Linked DNA regions of Mus musculus. The protein of the gene in region 1 purifies or fractionates together with the protein of each later gene. This does not show direct contact. Links are inferred from orthologs where the notes say so. Each region holds a gene or a part of one and is shown in the gene's direction. Other genes may lie near its edges. The genes, in order: Akt3 and Cdc37.

Region 1 (3,919 bases):
CTTATTGCTCTATGTAAGGATGCCTTGAAGAAACCTTTTACTAAGTTATCATGTAAAGACCTAGGGGATAAACTTCTGGTTAATATCTTAGGAAACACTGTTTTCTTCTCAGCAGCTCTCGTCTTTTTTGTATTACAGACATTAATACTGAAACCTATCATGGTTTTGAATTAGCAGTTTTCCTAAAACATTTCATTCCAAATTTTTGACTTTCACAAGTAGAGTTTTGAAATGAAGAGTGCCAATTTAGGAGTGAGGTACTCCAAATTCAGATTTTGGCTCTACAGCTTACTACCTTGAAATCTAGCAATTAGTTATTCTCTTTGAGCCCCAGGCTCACAGTTCTGTGAAATGAAGGCCGAGTGTCCTAACAGAGTTGTAAAGATTATCAGAGAATGACAGATGAACAATTTTGGCATGTCTTTTCTACTTTTATATTTCCTTTGTTCTACTTTTTGTATCTACCCAAGGAAATAATGTTGTATACTTAATGTAATTTACCTAAAATATTTTTAGAACAAGGCAGATTATATGAATGTTAGTTTCTTGCAACATTGTATTTTACATAAAATAAAGCAATTAAAACTATAATGATTTTTGAAATTAAAGGGATGTGGGCCACTCAACTTTCATTCTTTCTCCCCTTCATCCCAAATACACAGTACAAAATGTGCTTTCTGTATATTTGTAGATCTGACAGTTATTTTGTTAGGACATTTAATTTCAGTCTCTTAAGTTAAATATTTCACTATCATTTAACATCTGCCACAAGACCAGAGCAGTGTATTCATAGAACCATTTATTAATCCCCCCATGTTTGAGAAGCTAGACTTTATGTGCGGTCAGGCCAATTGAAGACATTTACAAAGACTTAGTTGTTTGTTATTGCTATGTGAGTTCAAGAATGGAAAAAAAAAAAAGAAATTCTTTCTTCAATACTTCCTTCCAGGCTGAGTCATCACTAGAGAGTGGGAAGGGCGGCAGCAGCAGCAGCAGCAGCAGCAGCAGCAGCAGCAGCAGCAGCAGCAGCAGCAGCAGCGAATCCAAACCCTAAAACTGACCTGCAAAGCACCATTTCTCCAAGTTGGGGGGCTCAGAGGGGAGCCATCATGAGCGATGTTACCATTGTGAAAGAAGGTTGGGTTCAGAAGAGGGGTAAGTTAAGTGCTGAGCTGTGAGTGGGTGCTGAGAGTTGGTCTTTCCTCTGGCGCTGTTGAATCAAGTGGGAAGTGCTGTCTGATAGGGCTGAAAGAAACTTTACCATGTATGTTAGGAGTCTGCTTATTTAGGGATTTCCTTCTAATTCTTTTTTTTTTGTAGTTTATAATTATGACGTTAGATTTTTGCATGCATGCATGTTAGTAATGTATTTTTCTATAATGTCTTCAGATTCAACAGACTTTACAGAATTTAACATAGAAATGAACTCTTGTGTCTATAAATGATATATTGATATTTAGATAAAAATATGGCTCTGTGTAAATTTGTATGGTAGCATAAAGAATTAATATAGTAAGGCGAGGGCTTACATTTAAACTGTTAGACTAAACAGACCCATAAATTAGGTAAATTAAAGCTCTTATATAAAAATTCAAATGTGGACAGTGATTTTTTTTGTTTAATTTTATATTTTTTGTTTACATGATCTACTTTTACTGTATATTTCCTGTCCACTCTTTTTTGATAAAGGCATTATTTTTATTATTAAATAACTGCTATAAAATTTAGTTTATAATGTGAGTGATCACCTCCTTACTTAATCTATATGTTTATTAGAGATCTGGACTTTAGGCTAGTTGCTCAGCAATTATACCTGTCTACGTACATGGCCAGATTCAGTAGACTGAGGAATCCTTTTGGCCCTATTTGAGAGTTGAAAGTTACCTCTAACCACTGACTTTCATTTCTTTGAAAATCTTTGGTTAATGCTTAGGCTAAAGAGCTGTTGTCAGTTTTTAAATGGAATTTTAAAATAGGCCTTATCAAGTTATAATTTACATACAATAAATATTCCAAAAAACCCTTTTAATGGGTTGTGCCTTTTTATGGTGTACATTTGTGGTGATGTAACAAACACTACAGGCCTAAAATAGAACATTTCTATCACTCTAAAAAGTTCTTTCCATGTTGCTTTTAGTTCACTGCTTCTCTTTCAACTTTGGCAATCACCTGATGTGTTGTCTCTTACTATAATTATGATTTTCAAAGATTTCAGTTCAGTGGACTCATAAAACCCATGGTCTTTTGTGTCTAGTTTCTTTCCTACTCACACTTCACTGCTTTATCCATGTCGTTTATGTGAAAAGAAGAACTACTTCAGGAAATACTATTCTTCATTTATTTGTTTATTTTTAACTAATTTTCTTTTTGAAACAGAATCTCACTTTATACCCAAGTTGCAGTTAGACTTACTATGTAGCTCAGGTAGTTATTCAACTTGATGATTCTCCTGTCTAGGTCTCTTGAGAACTGGGGTTATAGGCATGTTTTACCACTCCTGGCTTTGTCTTTTTAATACTTGGTAGAAATTTGGTTTGTCTCTGGATATTGTGAATAAAGTTTTTATGAACATTGAGTACATGATGTTTCCATTTGTATTGGTAATAACCTAGGATAAGATTGCAGGTTATATGGTAAGTGCCTGTTTAAATTTATAAAACTGCCAATTTATTTTCCAAAGTGACTGACCATTTGTGTCATTATATTTGTCCTTTGCTTTATTCTCTCATGTATTTGGAAAGTATTTTCAGATTTTAGTGTTGTGTTTTTTGTTTTCTTTCTTAACTAGTTTATATTCTTTCACCTTTTTAGAGGGGAGCAAAGGAGAGGAAATGGCAAGTCACTTAAACCTCTAAAAATTTCCTTTATTATTTCCTAAAATTTGATCCTAAGATCATTGTAAGACTCAAGTGAAATAATGAATCTGCCTTTCTGTATACTCATGTCTGTCTAAGGTCTTAGGGTGGTTCTTAATTCTGTAAAATTACATCTTTTCTGAAGTACCATGATGAAAGCTTAGTGTTTAGCTCATAAGATATATAATAGAAAACAAAGAAAATGGTACATAAGAAATTTTGTTGTTCAGAGGTCCTCCCCCAACGTGTATCTGCCTTTCTGCATTCATGTTCGTGCTTATTGAAAAATAATAGCCATCTGAACATATTGTGAGTAGTACTCAAATGTATGAAATGAAATGTAAAGACCCTTCTGTACTTTACCTCTTCAGCTGGTTCTTCTTCTGTTGATCAGTATCCTAATTGTGCATATAATATACAATACTTTATTTTCGGATAGCCATTTTCTCATAATCTAGTGTTTCTGTTATGAAAATGAAAAAAATACCTTTGAAGGCCGGCTTATCCTGCTCACCCCGCTCACCCTGCTCTCCCCGCTCACCAATTCACCCTCCTTTTTTGGGTGGGGTTGGGTTTCCGGCTAAGACTTTGATGTTAGATCATCACTTTTGAGAACTTTTATTTCTAAATTTGCTTCTTGTAAACTATGTTGAATTCCCAACATTCCCTTCATGGATTGTGCCATCATTAATGCTTATTACATATTGTCAAGGCTTATAGTAGTTAAACTTGTTGAATCTGAAAAGCAATGAATAACATTATAATTCTTTAATGTTAGTGATATGATAGTACCCTAAATATAAAAGAGATTTTTCACACCTCAGTTCTCAATAGCATGTATTCTATAGTTTATATAATGACTATTTTTTTTTTGAACTTCTTTTCTTATCTTTTTGATTTTCTTTCCTATTTTGACTTTTCAGACGAGGTCTGACTACATATTCTAGGCAGACCTTCAACTTGAGTTTCTCCTACCTCAGTCTCCCAAGTTTGGAATTGTCGATATTGGCCACAGTATGGCTTTCCCCTGAACATTCTGATGGCCATGTTTTCCCCATGCTGAT
Region 2 (3,919 bases), on another chromosome or scaffold:
TCTGTCTCAAAACAAACAAACAAACAAACAAACAAATAAATATTTTTTAAAATTTAAGGGCAGATCTGGTGTAGTGGGGCACACCTTTAGCCCCAGCACTGGGGAGAAGAGGTAGAAAGATCTGTTAGTTTGAAGTCAGCCTGGTCTACATAGTGAATTCCAAGACAGCCAGAGCTGTCTTATATACAGTGAGACTCTGGTGGGGGTGGGGGTGGGGTGGGAATTAAGGGCAAACATGATTAAAAAAAACAAATTGTATATTAATGTTTTGTCTGCAAGTATATCTGTCCACCACATGCATGCCTGGTGTAGTCAAAGGCCAAATGGGGACATAATATATATATCCTGGGTTGGACTTACAGATGGGTGTGAGTGGCCATGTAGGTGTTGGGAACAGAATCCGGGTGCTCTGGAAGACCAGCCAGTCTCCAAACTATTGAGCCAACTTTCCAGCCTCAATTTTGACTTTTTTTTTTCCATTTTTTATTAGGTATTTAGCTCATTTACATTTCCAATGCTATACCAAAAGTCCCCCATACCCACCCACCCCCACTCCCCTACCCACCCACTCCCCCTTTTTGGCCCTGGCGTTCCCCTGTACTGGGGCATATAAAGTTTGCGTGTCCAATGGGCCTCTCTTTCCAGTGATGGCCGACTAGGCCATCTTTTGATACATATGCAGCTAGAATCAAGAGCTCCGGGGTACTGGTTAGTTCATAATGTTGTTCCACCTATAGGGTTGCAGATCCCTTTAGCTCCTTGGGTACTTTCTCTAGCTCCTCTATTGGGAGCCCTGTGATCCATCCATTAGCTGGCTGTGAGCATCCACTTCTGTGTTTGCTAGGCCCCGGCATAGTCTCACAAGAGACAGCTACATCTGGGTCCTTTCGATAAAATCTTGCTAGTGTATGCAATGTTGACTTTTTTTTTTTAGAGTGTTGTTTGTATAACAACCCTGACCGTCCCTAAAATTACTCTGTAGGCTAGGCTGGCCTCGATCCGCCGGCCTCTGCCTCCGGAGTACTGGCATAGCGCCACTACCGCCCAGCCAATTTTGACTTTTTGACAGTGTCAATATGTAGCCCTGGCTGGACTAGAACTCCTGGAGAGCCACCTGCTTTTGCCTCTAGCGTACTTGGATTACCGTGGGCCACCACGCCCAACGCGACTAACCTTTTGTTTCTAAAGGATGGTCAGTCTGGTTTCGGCGGGAACTTCCAGAAGGCCTCACCACATACTCCTGGCCCTTTAAAGAAGACCTCCGGTTGCCAATGCCGCCGACTCCCGTTGCTAAGGACGTAACGTCCCGCGCCGACGCTGGGGCGGGGCCGTCCTGCGCGGCGCCCTGGGCGGAAGCGGAAGGGGCGGGGCTCGCCGAGCGGACTCTCTAGCCCTTGTGGGTCCCTGTTCAGCGCCCGGCCGTGTGGAGCCCCGGGAGCCAGTCCGGGCCTCCGAAGCGAAGATGGTGGACTACAGCGTTTGGGATCACATCGAGGTGTCGGACGATGAGGACGAGACGCACCCCAACATAGACACTGCCAGCCTCTTCCGCTGGCGGCACCAGGTGGGGCTGTGCGCGCTCATCCCCTTCCCCCCCACTCCCGGGACCCCCCGCTCTAGAGTTCTGACCTCTTCCCCAGGCCACCTGGCGTGGGGGCGGGGGAGACCTTAGTTATTGACATCTGGAGCCGCCTGCTCCACAATCTAGACTTTTCTCTTTCTTTTCTTTTCTTTTTCTTTTTTTTTTTTTTTGAAACAAAATTTCACTGTGTAACCTTCCCTGGCCTAGAACTTGCTGTGTAGAACAGGCTGGTTTCTAACTCACAGTGATCCTCCTGCCTCTGCCTTCCCAGTACTGGGATTAGAGACATGTGCCTTCATGCAGGGCCGGACTTTTTAATTCCATCCCAGGACTCCTGGCTTCTTCACCGTAATTCTTGACCTGTATCTCCAGGCGTTCTCTCTGTGCTATGGTTCTCTTCTGTTTGTAAGTTTATTTATTGTGTGTGTTCCCGTGTGCACGTGGCACAGCATGCCTATGGTGATCACAGGATAACTTGTAGAAGTTGGGCCTCTCTTTTCACCATGTTGGAACTGGCTGTGGAACTCCAGTCGCCCCACGTTGCCACAAGCACCTTTACACTCTGAGCCATTTTATCAGTTGGTAATACTTTAGTCAGAGTCTTGCCTCTCCCCATCCCCAAGCTGACCCTTGTGTGTAGGGTCCCCACTATCCTGTGCAGAACCTTCTGTTCTTCCTCAGAGTCTGGACCCCAGGTTCTGTTAGGTGATCTCATAGCCCAGCCACGCACCCACTTCATATTGCACGTCTCCCTTCTGCCTCTCCTCACTACTTAGAGTCTGGAGCCACAAAACTTCTGACTATGGCATCTATTTCCCAGGATCTTAGGCATGAATTTCTATTAAAGGCCCAGAGACGACCCCCTCCCCCCCCAACTTCCAAACTAAATGAGCCCTTAATTTAACTGTCAATCTTAGCTTGCAGCTGGGATTCCCCAGTCCAGGATCCCTTTCCCTGGGTTATAGACTTGAGTCCCACATGGGACATACCTGTAGAGCCCCCTTATCCTCTGTATTTGACCTCCATCTCCACTCTTGCCCATCATTCAGTTCCAGTGGCTCTCCTTATTCTCACCTCCTGTAGACTCTTATTTCCTGTTACTCCAGGAAACCCCACCCACCTAACTTCCTGTTAGAACCTCTGCTCCTTCTAGTATAGTAAGTAGACCCTCTCCTTCCCACCTTGGCTCCTATATGAACTGTAGCCATCTTTGAAAATTCACCAAACCAGGAGCCAGATGATGATGACACACATTTTTAATCCTAGCTCTCAGGGGGCAGAGGCAGGCAGGCCTGTGAGTTCAAGGCCAACCTGGTCTACAGAGAGTTCTACAGCTAGCTAGGGCTACACAGAGAAACCCTGTCTGGAGGGATGGGGCCGGGAGTCGGGTAGGATAAAGAGAGGGGGGAGGGGAGGAAGAGAAAGAAAAGACAGCTCACCAACCCAGAAAACCAAGCCTGTCCTGTCCTACCTGCCCGTTCCCTCCAGCTTCATCTGTCTCTCTCCAGGGTTCAGAGCATCCTAGTTAACTCTGGACCTCCCAGATAATGTTCCCACATAACCTTACTTTCTGAGCATGGTAGCACACCTGTAAACTCAGGTCTTAGGAGGAGGACGAGGAAGGAGGATCTGGGATTCAGAGTCAGTCCTCGATATAGGGCAAATTCTAGGCTAGCCTGGACTACATGAGACAATATCAAAAACCAAATGGGCTGGAGTTCAGTTGTATGGCATTGCCTTGGGCTCCATCTCTAGCACTGCTTAAAAACTAGCCATGGTGGGGCAGGCCTGTAGTCTGAGCACTGGGGAGAGGGAAGCAGGAGGGTCAGAAGTTCAAAGTCGTCAGCCACGGTAAGTGTGAGGCTGGCACAGGCTACAGGGGATCCTGTCAACCACCAAGCAAATAAAATACAGTCCTCTGCAGTTTTACATCTCTCCAAAACAGACGCCCCAGATTGAGACCTTAGAACCCCAAGTGTGAGCAAGCCATGCTCTTGCCCCTCCCTTGTGCCATCATTACCTGCAGGCCTGTAGCATACTACCAAGATGTGAGGGTGGCCTGGATGTGTGGTTCAGTGGTAGAGTACTTCTCTAGCGTGCAAGAGGTACTGGGTTCCAACTCTGTCGCAGCAGTAAAGAGACAATGGCCTAACCTGCTCCCCAAATTAAAACTTCTATACCCATATACCTGTGTGTCTTATACTCTTTGTTTAAGTTACATCTTAATTTTTTTGTGTGTGTTAATTCTTATGTATGTGTGCCGAGGTATCCTTGTGGCAGTCAAAGGATAACTTGATAGAGTCCACTTTCTCCTTACATGTGGGTTCTTGGGATCAA

Evidence for each region.
Region 2: the proteins of Akt3 (region 1) and Cdc37 purify together in Homo sapiens (co-immunoprecipitation; 3 studies listed by BioGRID and IntAct, counting the BioPlex papers as one, with this or other methods). This does not show direct contact. The link is inferred for Mus musculus from reciprocal best matches to the Homo sapiens genes AKT3 and CDC37.

The regions. Positions count from the first base shown.
Region 1 is NC_000067.6:177,245,912-177,249,830, reverse strand, and holds the start of Akt3 (RAC-gamma serine/threonine-protein kinase), read left to right. Parts: upstream 1-1,063; 5' UTR 1,064-1,109; coding exon 1,110-1,155; intron 1,156-3,919. UniProt on the Homo sapiens protein: AKT3 is one of 3 closely related serine/threonine-protein kinases (AKT1, AKT2 and AKT3) called the AKT kinase, and which regulate many processes including metabolism, proliferation, cell survival, growth and angiogenesis.
Region 2 is NC_000075.6:21,147,401-21,151,319, reverse strand, and holds the start of Cdc37 (hsp90 co-chaperone Cdc37), read left to right. Parts: upstream 1-1,385; 5' UTR 1,386-1,462; coding exon 1,463-1,564; intron 1,565-3,919. UniProt on the Homo sapiens protein: Co-chaperone that binds to numerous kinases and promotes their interaction with the Hsp90 complex, resulting in stabilization and promotion of their activity. Inhibits HSP90AA1 ATPase activity.